2 linked regions of the Mytilus edulis genome follow. The protein of the gene in region 1 purifies or fractionates together with the protein of each later gene. This does not show direct contact. Links are inferred from orthologs where the notes say so. Each region holds a gene or a part of one and is shown on either strand. Other genes may lie near its edges.

Region 1 (7,464 bases):
GATAATGGACGTCATACTAAACTCCGAATTATACACAAGAAACTAAAATTTAAAATCATACAAGACTAACAAAGGCCAGAGGCTCCTGACTTGGGACAGGCGCAAAATTGCGGCGGGGTTAAACATGTTTATGAGATCTCAACCCTCCCCCTATACCTCTAGCCAATGTAGAAAAGTAAAAGAATAACAATACGCACATTAAAATTCAGTTCAAGAGAAGTCCGAGTCTGATGTCAAAAGATGTAACAAAAGAAAATAAATAAAATGACAATAATACATAAATAACAACAGACTACTAGCAGTTAACTGACATGCCCGCTAACAAATTGAAAACGGTTCCTATATACACCTTATTTTAAGTCCAGATTTTTAGTATTCGTATTGTTATCTTAGAAAGTCTTACTGATTAAAATACTACAATAGGTAACAATTTGACAATGATTGAATTTAGTAGTGTCAACCCTGTGATTATGATCCGTGTACATGTATATAGCATAATCCTAAATACACCGTTTGGTGGTGCACCTGTTAGATGCGGAACGTACAGATAAGGTAATAGGTAACACGTGAATATACTATTGGTATCGGTATCGGACTTGACCCGGAACTTCTTAATTATTGGCAATATTAATTACGTGGAAAACAAAAGGGCCTGGAGTGGTGTAATTTTTAATCTACACCTTTGTACTATATTAGTTATATATAAAGATGAATTCTTTGATTCGTCGTTTTTACGTGATGATGGCTGACAAATTGGACCTCGTAATTTTAGTATTATAGATGCATGCATGATAGCAGGCAATTAAGTCAAAGTTCATCCAATCAGAAGAAAAGGTGTTTTAGTGCTTAGACTTTCTATAAGGTTTACCTGTGGCATAATCCATATTTTCACCCCATTCAATCAGTTCCTCCATAGCTTGACTTCTTTCTTCATCACTGCTTTGGTTGTTTTTCAAACATTCAATACATGTCCTCATTCTTTGTACTGGACTTACAGACATGCCAACCAATGCCTGCTCTAACCATTTCTTTCTCTGTCAATATTATAACTCTATTAGTTAAATTAGCATATATGTATTTGGAAATCTTTAATTTCAATTATAAAATATAAAACAAAATTTATACTTTCAGCCCTGCAATTATAAACCTTACTTAATTACTTTTTGTCTCAAATATTTATCTTGTAATAGCAGTGGTCACGTACTTGTAGCACTTTTTTAAAAATAGAATTTGTTAAAATTTTAGGAAGCAACCATTTCACTTCGGGGGAGGGGGTATGCCAATGGTTTTATGGCAGAGTCAGAAAAAAATTTGTGCACAATCATGACAATTCTATTTAGTTTTTCAAAAATTTAACACTATGAGGTATGGGGAAAATCTGGAATTAGAATATTTTTTTTGGTCATCTACTTGAACAGAATTTTTTTTCCATCAAATAGGGATCAGGATATTGTTTTCCACTTTAAAGTAAAATTGTCTGTCCCTAGGTTATTTATTATTATATATATTTGAATTTTGTACATACATTTGTACATGTTCCTAATGCATATCAGTCACATGAACAAATAACTGTTAGGAATTAACTATTCATTCCTTTATACATATGCAAAAAAGAACCAGTGCTTAACAGGAAAATTCCTTTCAGAATACAAATAAAATATATCATAAAGTATATCAATCACAAAACTTGAGAGGAAACAAATCATTACAACATGTTCAAGTTAAAACATCATTGATATATCAAGCTACTACATGATATCATAAAACAGAAGTGATGACCAAAGGACAGAACCACAAAATAATGGGAATATATAATTCTTCTTACATGTACATTGATGTATGCTCCTTGCTGGTCTCCCAAATTTTTTAAAGTATCCAAATAATAAATGTTCTAGGGTAAAATAGAGATTTAAATTTCTGTTTTGTTTTTAAAAGGCCAGATTTTTTTAATAATTTTTTGTTGTTGTATTTTAAAATCCAAATATTAATGATGGATTGCCAATGTTTCATTTAAATATCAATAAACTTCATCTTCAACCTCACCTAAACTGCACCTGGTTATTATATAATTAAGTGTTGATTTGTACTGAATAAAGAATTATGAATATTTTCTAGTACCCTGCAGGTTTGCTAGTTTTGCTAAATATTTTTTGACTGAGACTTTTTAATGTTTTTGCTTTAGGTGTTTTCCACATTTCATCAATTTTGTGTACATGTAGGTACATGCATCATGCATGTACACAAAAATGTATCTACATGTACACCCCACCTTTTCCATTGATTTTTAAGCCACCCATTTTTCGTACATGTATATAAATCATGATATCATATATATGGTGGGAATTTTTTTTACCAATTTAGTTATATGGATTATCTATTGCAGGGTTCTAACTATGCAGAGTTCATGAGTTCTGGCCTATTGAAAATCTGTCTGGACTCATCATATTCAAAACTGGAGAGTCCAAAGATGCTGTATCAGGTAATTTATCAACATAATTAACCGATCCCAAATATCACCATTTTATTGTAAAAGTTTAAATACATGTATACATGTAACCTTAACTTGACATCATCTCACTTCTCTATTTAGATGTGGAGACTGAAATACAAACAAACATATAGGAATAAAATTTCTTTGACTCACTGCTGAAACCAGGGCTGCCATGACCAAATATAATATCTTGCCTTCAAAATCCCTACAGATTACAGATTCTTTACATAAAATAACATACAGATTCTGTCCATCCTTAGAGAAACTCCTGATATATTGTTCAATCTGGGAGATCCTCAATCATTAATTGATGGACTTTGAAAATAAAGATTCAAAATAATCATGGTGTCATTTTACGGTTACTTTGATTAAGGTAATTTTATTATTATTTTTATAGCCTATAGCATCCTTTTTCAAATGTTATACCTGTCTCCATATTAGAGTATTTATATAAACAAGTACATGTACCTCTTCATCCATAGGAGCAAATTCTTCTGATTTTGCATCCTCATCCTTTGTTGCTTCCAAACAGAATTTCAACAATGCTTTCATATCTTTTGGATTCCTCTGGTCCTTACCATCTCCACTGGCCATTTCAATAAGTTATTCGTCAACAATTTTTACGTAAGGTACAGCAATAAACAGACACAAAATGTGAGCAAATCAATATACAAGTAATAGTTGGCTAAGTTGCTTCAGTCGAAGTGAATCTCTAAAATTTCGAACTACTGTTGAATAAATCGGATACAAGTAAGTTCACGGAACATATATCGATATGGTTTACTTATATGCTTCTCTTTTAGAACAGAAATGACTCAGGCAAGTTTAAATATAGTTTAGAAAATTGTAGAAAATTCTCCAAAAGCACATTGAGATATTCCGGAATACATTCTAAAATTAGTTTTGGTGTTTCCGGGAAATAGGGTTATCTAAAACATAGTCAATATATTCGAACTTGTTACGCATTCACCCATACCACAAGAAACATAAAATTATTACATGAAGGGATTAATAAAATAATGAATAAGAATATAGTCTTTCGTTTAGTCAATAAACAAGTCCTAAGCGTTATTTAATTGTACCCTGTATTCTGTAATGATTTATTTGTAATATCAAAATGTGCAAATAAAAAGATATCAAAATAGAATAGTAAATAAATATGATGAAATCGAGGAGACCTCTTTGCATTAAAAATTAAGAAAAAAATCAATAAGAAAGAAAGAAAGAAAGAAAAAATCAATAAGAAAGAAAGAAAAACACTCACCAAAGATACCAGACAGTAGTACCAAATTAATACACCAATCGTTTATCAATCGTTGGGAATTCAAGTTTGATTTAAATAAAAATTACGGGAAGACATTTGATAAAAAAGTAAAATTAGTTCATAAATAAAGCTTTGTTTTCATTAAAAAAAAAGAGTGCATTTAAATCATTCATTAAATTATTTTATAAAAAGCAAGGATTTGTATAGTAAGACTATACAAATCCTTGTAAAAAGTAATTGAAGATTATATACTCTATCTGTAACGTGCCATTCTAGTGGAGTTCTATAAGGAAATGAAACTCTACTCTAGTTTTAATTGTAAAGTAAACAAACATTCAAATCTTATTAAGAAACAAAACCAATCCAATTTTAATCTAATCATTATCAGTACAGGTTTACAACATAATTAGTAAAGGTATCAACAAAAGAACTCAATTATAGATATCAAATGTTATCAAAACATCTTAAGTATACTTCTCACTTATCACCCCTTACAACAAAGTATTATTAGAGCAGACAGACATATCTCAAAAAAAAGTCGTCCAAAAGTCTGATAATCCAATTAAGTCACAACTGTCTTTCGTTTATAAAAGAACGTCAAACAAATATTAAAACATTCAATAATTCCCGAATATTAAAGAAAGTTTAAAAGAAAGGTAAGAGTTTTATGAGGGATAAGTTTTCTTTGGAGGGTTTTAATAAAGACATGATGATTATTTATTTTTTATTTGTGAATTTCTGTTCAAAATAACCTCAATTTTAATTTTATATATTATCAAGCTAGTGCATATCAATTTGACCATTAGTTCTAATGCATTTTTACACATGGTTTATTTTAAAAAAAAATGTTTTTGTAAATAGACGTTTTGGTCTTAGAATTATTATAATTAATATAAATTATAATTAATATCTTATTTTTGATTTACAGTTTCATAATATAAAGATAGAAAGATGTACAATACAACAATTAACAAGATTCCACAAAAGAAAATGAACAAGATGGTATACGACCGCGTCCCAGTTATTAGTACTCCAAGAAAGAACAACATGAAGGTGGACAGAAGTGGTATGGTGGCACTTTTTATGGACGACTGTTCTACGACTTCTGGTAGCTGTGTGCAAAGCCGTATTCTGAGGCCATCGGACACATACTCCACAGTATCTTCAGAACAAAGTCCTCCTTTCCATCTGATGTCTGACAACTCATCATGTACCAGTTGTTCACAGAACCAGTGGAACCTACCTCCTTACACTGTCATAGACCCACACAGACACTACGCAAATGTACCAGTCTATAAATCTACGGTAAGTCAGATTAGCTTAAAATTATTTAAAAAAATATGAAAAGGATCAATTGTATAAAGTTCAAGATTGTAAATTATTGAAGCAGTTTTCTTGTCTGATCTTTCACTTTTATTATGTCGCTTCTATCGTCAGTTAGATACAAATACATGTAATGCACTTGTAGATATAAAAAAAAAGTAGGCGGAATTAGTCTTGAGATAAGATATTACGCATTTGTTTGTTTCTGCGACTGACTTTCATATGGACAAGGAAGGAAAACATATATATATATATTCCTAGTTCGTAACGTACACAAACACACCGCAAAATTAAAAAAAGTTGTAACTCTATTTCTCCTTCTGATTTTTATTGCTGATTCTGTATTATAGATGATATAAAGATTGATTTATACTGCCTTTCCTAAATATCTAAATACCAAATCAATGTCAAACACACTGTCATTTGCATGACTGTGTGTAGTTTACATACATCTTACAATTAAAGATAAATGGATTATGGTGTTAACATAATAAAGATAAATGGGGTATGTTGTTAACATTTTATTTATTTTTACAGACTGTTACACTGAAGACAGTAAAGAGGACATCAAGAAAGAGTGTATGGCTTGGTCTTGTATTTGGTTTCTCCATATTCCTCCTGGTCGTGCTTGGAGCTGTCATCTCATATGGTTTAGAAAATGGCATGCTGTGAATAACAAGTTCAGCTTTAACTAAAAGGTATAAAGTGAATGGATTGAGTTCTACAAACTAGCAGATGTACAGGGACAGATGACGGCATCGGTGCTTCAATCTTTATGAAGAACATTAAACCCAGTCATGCCCAGTGTTTGCCCAGAAACTGACTGAGCAACATTCGACTGCACATCGACAACGACTTAACACAAAGATCAAATTGTGTTATCATGACTTAAGTTATTACTGACTGCTTGTACGAAATAGTGCATTGGAAAACTATTATTAGTATCTAATATTGTAATATATATACATTGTGAATTATGTATTTATTGTACTACTGTATTTATTTTGTTCTAACTTATTACTGTTTGTTTCAATTAAATATTTATTTGTGAAAAATGCCTTTGATGTCTTATTTCTACAATCTAAAACAATTTTCGAAGTGGCAGATACATGGGGAATGTATCACTTTATCAGAGTTTCCGCCTACGTGGTTAGTGACAATAAGCAACAAAACATTAATCCCACGCAATGTTATTACAACATAAGAAGCAGGGGTGAATATAAATTTCTTTTATTGGATTGTACCACAAGGCAGTTAAAGGAGTTTCGAAATCAATTACATATTTACTACAGGAAAAAAAAATTCCTCGCAACTTTCCCTATACATGAAATCAATTGACTAATTATTCGTTTTACGTAAGTTAAACAATCGCTTTATCGGCGAGAAAATACATTTTATTATAATTAAGACATGACGTAACAACTTTTATTTTATATAATGCACATGTAAGTACTACGATAACCCGGTCTCGTAAAATCCAAGCGTCGGGGTGTAAATGAAGAGAGAGGGTGATTCAAAATATTTTCTACACCCAGAACAAAACTCTAGGTTAACATTCAGATACCTTTGGTTTTACAGAATCTTTTAAATCCTCAACATAGCTTTGGTTTTCCAGAATCTTTTAAATCCTCAACATAGCTTTGGGTTTACAGAATCTTTTAAGACCTCAACATAGCTTTGGTTTTACAGAATCTTTAAAATCCTCAACAAAGCTTTGGTTTTCCAGAATCTTTTAAATCCTCAACATAGCTTTGGATTTACAGAATCTTTTAAATCCTCAACAAAGCATTGGTTTTACAGAATCTTTTAAATCCTCAACATAGCTTTGGTTTTGCAGAATCTTTTAAATCCTCAACATAGCTTTGGTTTTACAAAATCTTTTAAAGCTTTGGGAAATAAATCTGAAAGTCTGTGCTGGAAGATTGCAATGCCTTTTGGTCGTTATAAAACTTTGCGAATTATCTTGTCTTATGCCAAACGTAGGCGGCACTGAGAGCTGCCATCTAAACAGCCAGACAACTTTAAAAATGGATGATTCAAGGTTAACATACATATTCACCCCTGTCTCTTCACTGAGAATATTAAAAAAATGATAATAGCCACGTATATATTATCAATGTTAATTGTACATTTATCTATATACATCATAGAAAACTACAACAACAAATTCAATAGTAACTTAGTATATTTTAGTAGTTATACCACAGAAAGGTTTTAGGAATCAACATGAAACAGTTGAGAAAACAGATCTCAACAAAACAGTCTCTCGTGAAAACAGATGAAGTATCCTCGCAATACTGCACCATTTGATATTGTCAGTGATACGGTTTTATATATTATAGAAGTATCCTCGCAATACTGCACCATTTGATATTGTCAGTGATAC
Region 2 (7,666 bases), on another chromosome or scaffold:
TTCAAAACAAAAGACTGATATCACAAATCTGTTGAAAATGTACATGATATACTTTTATTACTTCATCCAACTCAATTGTTAAATAATCATTCCAAAGAGTTTTTAGTTGATACTGTTAAAAATATGTAAGGAATTTTAATTATCCTATCGTTGCCACATCTATCCTGATTCCCTGACAATGTCTATCCATATCGAATCCTTTACGCGCAATTCAGCGGTACGCGGCTCCTTTGTGAACAGATAACGGATCCTTGCCGTAAACATAAGGTGAGTTAACCTAAACGTTCCTTTAAAATTGTGTTTTATTCTGTCTAAACACTCTGGTCAACAAAAAACAAATAGCAGGCGAAATAAGCCAACTATCAAGGTAAGTATATAGATGTATTTTATTTCGTTAGCTAGTATGATTACGAAATAATCACTGAAACAAGGGAGTGCAATTGTATGAAATTGCGAAGTGATGTTGACATTTTCCAGACTTTCAAGCATTTCTTCCCTGTTTTTGCTGATAAAAGTACTGAATTGTATTAGAAATTGACGTTCTTTTATTGGGTAAAACAATCTACCGAAATTCTAATGTTCAGTCTTCTGAAATTAGTTCAAAATGTTATAAAATTTGTGGCAACGGATCTTTATGATCCGTTTCCAACACGGTCTTTTAATTCTATCTGGAGCTTATTGTATACTCTTTTATACTCAATAAAATGAAATGAGCAATTAAAAAATGATGAACTGTTTATTCAAATCCATATTGACAGAAATAACATGCATAAAACGCTGTTTTTTGGAAAAAACAAAGGTTATGTGAGACACTTGCCCACTTTTTCTTGTAAAAATAGCCTGTTATTCTTAAAACTATCTATAGTCATAAGAAGAGTGGATCAGTTTGACATTCTAAAGTTCCGTGAACTAAGAATTTAACACAAAATACCTCTCTGATTTGTTGTCATCCATAACTTTCTAACAACATCACGTTGTTTTTACGGCAAGGATCCGTTATCTGTTCACAAAGGAGCCATGTACCGCTGAATTGCGTGTAAAGGATCCGATATGGATAGACACCCTGACCCTTGTTTTCCCCCTTTTTTGCCCCTAATTGCTGAATGATTTGAGCCATAACCCCCCATATCCATCCCTTTGTAGTATGGAAACTTGTGGTATAATTTCAGGGAGATTTATACACTTAAACATAAGTTATTGACTGAAAACTACAAAAATGCTTATTTCGGCCTCTTTTTTGACCCCTCACTTATTGAAAGTTTCAGAAACCCGCCTCCCACCTTGGAGCAAGAACCCCAAAACTCAATTCCAGCCTTTCCTTTGTAGTAAGAAACCTTGTAGCATAATTAAAGAGAGATCCATTCTGGCATTCAGTTAAACCCAATTTTTTGCCTGTAATCTAGAAAAATGCATCTTTTTGGCCCCTCATTCCTAAATGTTCAGGGATATTAACCCCAAACTAAATTAAAGCCTTCCCTTCGTTATATGGAACCTTGTGGTACAAAGTCAGAGATATCCATACAGTTATACATAAGTTATTGTCCTGAAACTACAAAAATGCTTGTTTTTGACCCCTTTCTGGCACTTAATTCCTAGACTGTTTGCCCACACAACCCTTAAAATAAATCTCAACCTTCTACTTTATAGTATGACCATTGTGGTACAATATCAGAGCAATTAAAATACTTATACACAACTTATTGTCCTGAAACTAGATAAATACTTGTCTTGGGCACCTTTGGGCCCCTAATTTCCAAACCGTTGGGACCATAACCCCCAAAATCAATCCTAACCTTACTATTGTGGTAACAAACATTGTGTAAAATTTTTATTGGTTTTTATTAACTTATACTAAAGTTATTATCCGGAAACCATTCATCTTAGGATGACGCTGATGAAGAAGACGACGGCGTGATACCAATATACGACCAAATTTTTTTTAATTTTTGCGGTCGTATAAAAACATATATTCAATTTTTAATGTAATCAAAGTTTAATTTTGGACCCTTTGGACCTCATTAAAAACTGGCCCAATTATCAAAAACATGTTTAGATTCAAGCATATCAAAGAATCTCAAGAATTCAGACATTTTTACTTTTATTTTCAAAGATTATCACGTGACCACGAGAAAACAGTGACGATTTATGCAAATGACCAATATCTAACACCTCGTTCATTCACGATGCAAGTTATCAAAATGTTCGAGAGCTTCCGATTGTTATTGTGGTTGGCACTAAATGCTTAATATCGATCTCCTGTCCTATGAAGGAGGTGAAAAAGTATAAACATGATAAATATTTGCATATTTGAGTCTCGAGTTCATGAAGTCTCTCGTAACTTGACGTCCTTTTGAAAATAAAAGTAAAAATGTCTGAATCGATGGGTCACTGTGAAAACTGTCTAATTACATATGTATGAGAAATTAAAGGGCGACAGGTACATTAATGAGGGGGGATAGGAGGGGTCTTGATCCCGAAATCCCGGACTTGAAAAAACGAAATCCCGAGGTCCCGAATTTAAATAAAGCAAATCCCGACATCCCGAAATCCGAAAAAAAGGATTCCCGGATCCCGAAAGGGTCAATCCCGAAATCCCGATCTTAAAAACACCCGATCCCGGAGTCCCGATAAAGGTCCTATCCCCCCTCATTAATGAAGAGATAAATGAAAAATGAAAGAATTGATACCCGATCTATATAATGCCAAGGCCAACAGTTGGCACCAGAAGGGAGGAAGCAGCACATCTATTTTGGACAGGCAAATATCCACTTTTTAATATGGGACCAGCTCTGACGTCCCACGGCCCCAGCTTGTCTTGAAACACAGCCGTTAGACGTCAGAGTAATCTCGGACTTCCCACAGAAGTTTTCACAGTAGAGCTTCTCTCAAAGAGACAGAATCTCTACTGTGATAGTCGAGTTTGGTATATTTTTACCCCATTATTGATAGGATTTCAAACTCCTGTGGACTACCTATGGATAGAAACAAATATAAAATTTGCCTGTGCTACACTTGGGGGAACTTTAAGAGTGCAGAACTCAGCAGATCTCGTTCCCGTAGTCTTACCTTAATTTTCTCTGTGTTTTGCATTTTAGTCAGAAATTATTTAGGCTTATAGTTTCAAGATTTCGGACTAAGTCTGGAAATTTCCCGATTTCTTTAACTAAAGGGAGGTTATCATCTTCTCTATCATTAAAGTGTTTGAATTGATGGTGTATATTGGAACTTTTAAACGTTTTAAAGATAATGAAAATTAAGGTATAACTCGTTTGTAATGTATAAAAATACTCCTGTTTGCTAATGAACCTGCAGCCGGGGCGTGTTTTTTTTATCTTCGGTAGTGAACCAGAAGAGGTCCTTTTCTGTTTTTTTTTTGCATTGGGAAGATCTTCTGGCTCTCTTCCACCTCTTCTTTTTTAATAGGTGGTTTATACGACAGAGTCACAAAACTAATGACATTAATTAGTTTATGAAAGTAGATATAAGTTAGAATGTGAGCTGTGTAATACTGAAAAGTTTTTATGGTACGACAGCCTTAGTAGGACATCTCTGAATTGATTTATTGGTGTTAAACGCTAATTTCAACACTCATAATTTGGCTAGTGCTCAGTTTAAATCAATAGATGAGGAATGAGGAAGGAAAGAGTTCATTATTAAAATTGAGAAAGGAAATGGGGAATGTGTCAAAGCGATAACAACCCGACCATCAATAGAGCAGACAACAGCCGAAGGCCACCAATGGGTCTTAATTATTGTTCATTTTAATTTGTCGCTAATCAAGCCTATTTTCAGCCCTTACCAGGCAACCATATTCATATACGAAATCCTCATTTTCCCTAACCCCATCAAATTAATACTGATTTATCTGATGTTTTTCTCTTATTTAACACAAGTTTAAATTGATTCTAATTTTTAACGCCCAGTGATAAATATTTCATGCATACCTGAAGAAAACACGAGAAATATAATTATATAAAAACAAAGATATGTGATATGATTGCTTATTAGACAACTTTCGACCGGAGTTCAAATGATGAAGTGGACAAAAATGGTGGATGTAAGCAGTTATAGGCAACGGCCTTCAACAATGACAGAACCCGATACCATATGTAAAGCCGTTTATAAAAGGCCATGAAAAGTGTGAAACAATTTAAATGAAAAACTATACATAACAATTGTTTTTACACAATATCAAATATGAGTTCAAACAATCGGCCAGTCAAAGAAGAAAACTAACAACCTAACCAACGGTACAAAATAATGAACGAAAGACAAGTAAGTAACACAGCAACAAACGACAAGTACTGACTTACAGGCTCCTGACTTGGGACAGGCACATACATATAGTAATGTGGCGGAGTTAAACATGTCAGCCGCGGATCCCAACCATCCCTTAACATTGGACAGTGGTGTAACAGTTCAACAAAATGTTTGTGAGCGCTCAATTCTCCCCGAAGCTGAAACCGTATAGTGTAGCAAACAAAAATGGCTAGCAAACCTACAGGAATCACCAAAAGCATTAAATTATCGTTTATTTAAAGATACTTTGGAGTTTGAGAAATATTTAAATATTTTGAATGACAGGCATATATCCTAATTTCGAACTTTGAACATGAAATTTCCAATACAAACTATTATAAATTGTTATTTGGATGGAGAGTTGTCTGATTGGCACTCACAAAACATCTTCCTATATCTATTTAAAAGATGGCAAAACATAGAAAGGGAAAACAGAAAATGTGTATTGTGTAATTCAGAGGCCATTGGTGATGAATACCATTATATTTTTTAATTATTCAGCTTTTGATAACTGTAGAAAACAATGTATTGCATTTTGCTATAGAAATGGACCAAACACATTGAAGTTTTATGACTTAATGAATTCAAAAAAATGTACAGAACTGAACGAACTATGTAAACTTATTAAGGAGATCAATAACAAATTGAACTTTTCTGGGTGAACAATTGTAAATGCCTCTATCTACTTTCGTACATTATTTATTTATGTAATTGTATTGAAATATGTATAATTATCTCTATACCTTTGTAATTTGGTTTGTGAGAATAAAGATATATAGTACAATATAAAAATAACCTGCACAAATCAGTTGCTATTAAATTAACTCAAAAGATCGGTACGAGACACACACACAAAACCAGCCAACTAGAATAATGCCAAGAAATCCTCGCTAAAAATTCCGGTCGACCCCCAACGGCAGTCATTAGTAGCTAAAGATTTGATTTCATTCAAGAAATTAATGTATGACCTTCAAGTACGTGTCGCTTAGAACACGGCCATATACCAAATGGTCAAAATTAATCATCCATGTAATTTGCTCTATGGGGTGTTTGCAGAATTTCAACGGAGGCAATTTCTTGGCAAGACCAATAAAACACGCCCCTGACTTTGTTTATTGCAAAAGCATTTTAAAGGGACAATAGCTGTAAAATTCATGTTCACCGATTTGACTAAAATTCTCATATTAGATTAGATTTAATATGAGGAAGGCGCTACCTTAAATGCTTAACAAGACTGTAGTTTTTGTCTTGGATAAAATGATTAATTACGAGATGTTTAGGGAACGACCATCGAACATCAAACTGAGGCGGGAGGGGGGATATGTTATTTCTCTTTAAAAAATGTTCTTATTCCCAAATTGAAACAAAAAATATTCTTCAAGCAGAGGACAAACAAAAATTTAATCCAACAGATTTTCCCTAGCCATACATTCATGTAAAATGCTTAAATTTTGATTTTTTTTATATTGGAAACGTTGACATGGTTGAATCGCTTCGCGTGAAAAAAAATATTACTTAAACAAAAACAAAAAAATACCTCCCCTCCCTTTTTTTGAAGATAAATGGTTGCTCCCTTATGGTCCATACTGTTTTCTTCTGAAAATGAATTTACACATTTCTTATCTTGTTCAGGTGTATCAATTGAAAGCAAGTTAAAAGCGCAAAGTTAAAAATCCAGTTCGGGATGAAAATTTCAGGAACTCTTTTTTTTACTCTCCCTTGACACCATTTGAAAGTATGTTAAGAGGAAACGATGATAGTCCGTCGGAAGGGGACGATAAATGGCTGACCCGTGTTAAGAGAGAGCCATATCTCTTGCACCGTTAAAGACACCCTTGTAGAGTTCGAAAAAGAGCAGGCTAATGCCGCTACAAGGCAGCACTCGCACCCGCAAAGTGGAAAGGGATAAATTTACAAAACTTGTTTCCCAATCCACTATAAATGAGGGGGGATAGGAGGGGTCCTGATCCCGAAATCCCGAGTTTAAAAACATGAAATCCCAAAATCCCGAATTTGAATAAAGTAAATCCCGACGTCCCGAAATCCTAAAAAAAGAATTCCCGGATCCCGAAAGGGTCAATCCCGAAATCCCGAGCTTAAAAACACCCGATCCCGGAGTCCCGATAAAGGTCCTATCCCCCCTCATAAATAAATATGTTTAAACTCAACTAAAACAAAAAGCGCAAATGCCCGAAGTGTTTCAATGGCAAATACCCATAGTTTTTGAAGTGCAAATGTCCTTTTATGTCTAATCCTATTGTCAATGTTTTTGGACAATAAAATATGTTTAAACTAATGTTACAGGTTAAAAAGCGCAACCTTCATACGCCTTGTCTTTCACGATAAAGAAAATGCGTTGCCCATGGATCTTTCACGATCAATTTTGATGAAAAACCAACAAACTTCAATGTTTTCAAAAACAAAATGAACGGTTTCAAGGGGGAAAATCTCACATTTTCCTGTACTATCTGACACACCAAATATATCATTATATCTTGGAATATGATCATTATATATGCAAAACGTTGATCATTATATATGCAAAACGTGTTTTTTTTTAATCCTCTTTATCCTATTGCACACTAGTATTATCTAAAAAGTTGAATACTTTTGACAGACGTAATTATTTTTTCCAAATTTGTTCCGCGTTTTAAAAAAAACAGTAGATTTTTCACAGATTTTGAAGTAAAACTACAATTAATTAGATTCACGATCCGAAACCAGGCCTTGCGGTCATAAAACTTTAGAGCACGATTTTTGTACTCAGACTCAAGAATCAACCAATCAAAACGGTGCTTTGCTTTTGGCATTTCAATTGCGCCAAAAGAAATCTTTCATTTGCGTCACAAACCATATTTCATTTGCGCCCAGGGGCGTAGCTGCCGTTAGGCACTTTAGGCACGTGCCTACACATAATTTTTTCACAAATATTTTTTTTTTTTATTAAAAAAAATAATAAACAACGTTATCTGTAGATGAAGTTGTCAAAACTCTTTAATTATCGAATGTCATGTGTACACTAGTCTCTCGTCCTTAGTGAATGGAATATTGGCTAGAATTGAATGTTTTTACGATTTTACCTTATATAGAAACTATAAACTAGAACTTTGGTTTAGATCATTTCACTTCTAGACTATCAACAAAAACTTGAATAAACCTCAACTTAGACACATGAGTTTTTTAATTAGCTGTTGTTAGTTTTCAACTAGCTTTCCACTTTGTCTTCACCCGAATAGCCAATGTTGGTCGTCCGTTTGGCTGTGCAGGATGTATAAATACGCAGTCACGTCTGGTCAGAATGGGGACATTAAATCCGATGCCTAGTTGTAGACACGGGGGGGGGGGGGGTCTCTTCCTATATAAAGGT

What was found.
Region 2: the proteins of hsp70-binding protein 1-like (region 1) and erythroid differentiation-related factor 1-like purify together in Homo sapiens (affinity purification with mass spectrometry; 3 studies listed by BioGRID and IntAct, counting the BioPlex papers as one, with this or other methods). This does not show direct contact. The link is inferred for Mytilus edulis from reciprocal best matches to the Homo sapiens genes HSPBP1 and EDRF1.

The regions. Positions count from the first base shown.
Region 1 is NC_092350.1:18,200,164-18,207,627, reverse strand, and holds the start of hsp70-binding protein 1-like, read right to left. Parts: upstream 3,423-7,464; 5' UTR 3,086-3,422; coding exon 2,960-3,085; intron 1,035-2,959; coding exon 869-1,034; intron 1-868. UniProt on the Homo sapiens protein: Inhibits HSPA1A chaperone activity by changing the conformation of the ATP-binding domain of HSPA1A and interfering with ATP binding. Interferes with ubiquitination mediated by STUB1 and inhibits chaperone-assisted degradation of immature CFTR.
Region 2 is NC_092347.1:49,866,858-49,874,523, forward strand, and holds the start of erythroid differentiation-related factor 1-like, read right to left. Parts: upstream 3,204-7,666; 5' UTR 3,091-3,203; coding exon 3,067-3,090; intron 1-3,066. UniProt on the Homo sapiens protein: Transcription factor involved in erythroid differentiation. Involved in transcriptional activation of the globin gene.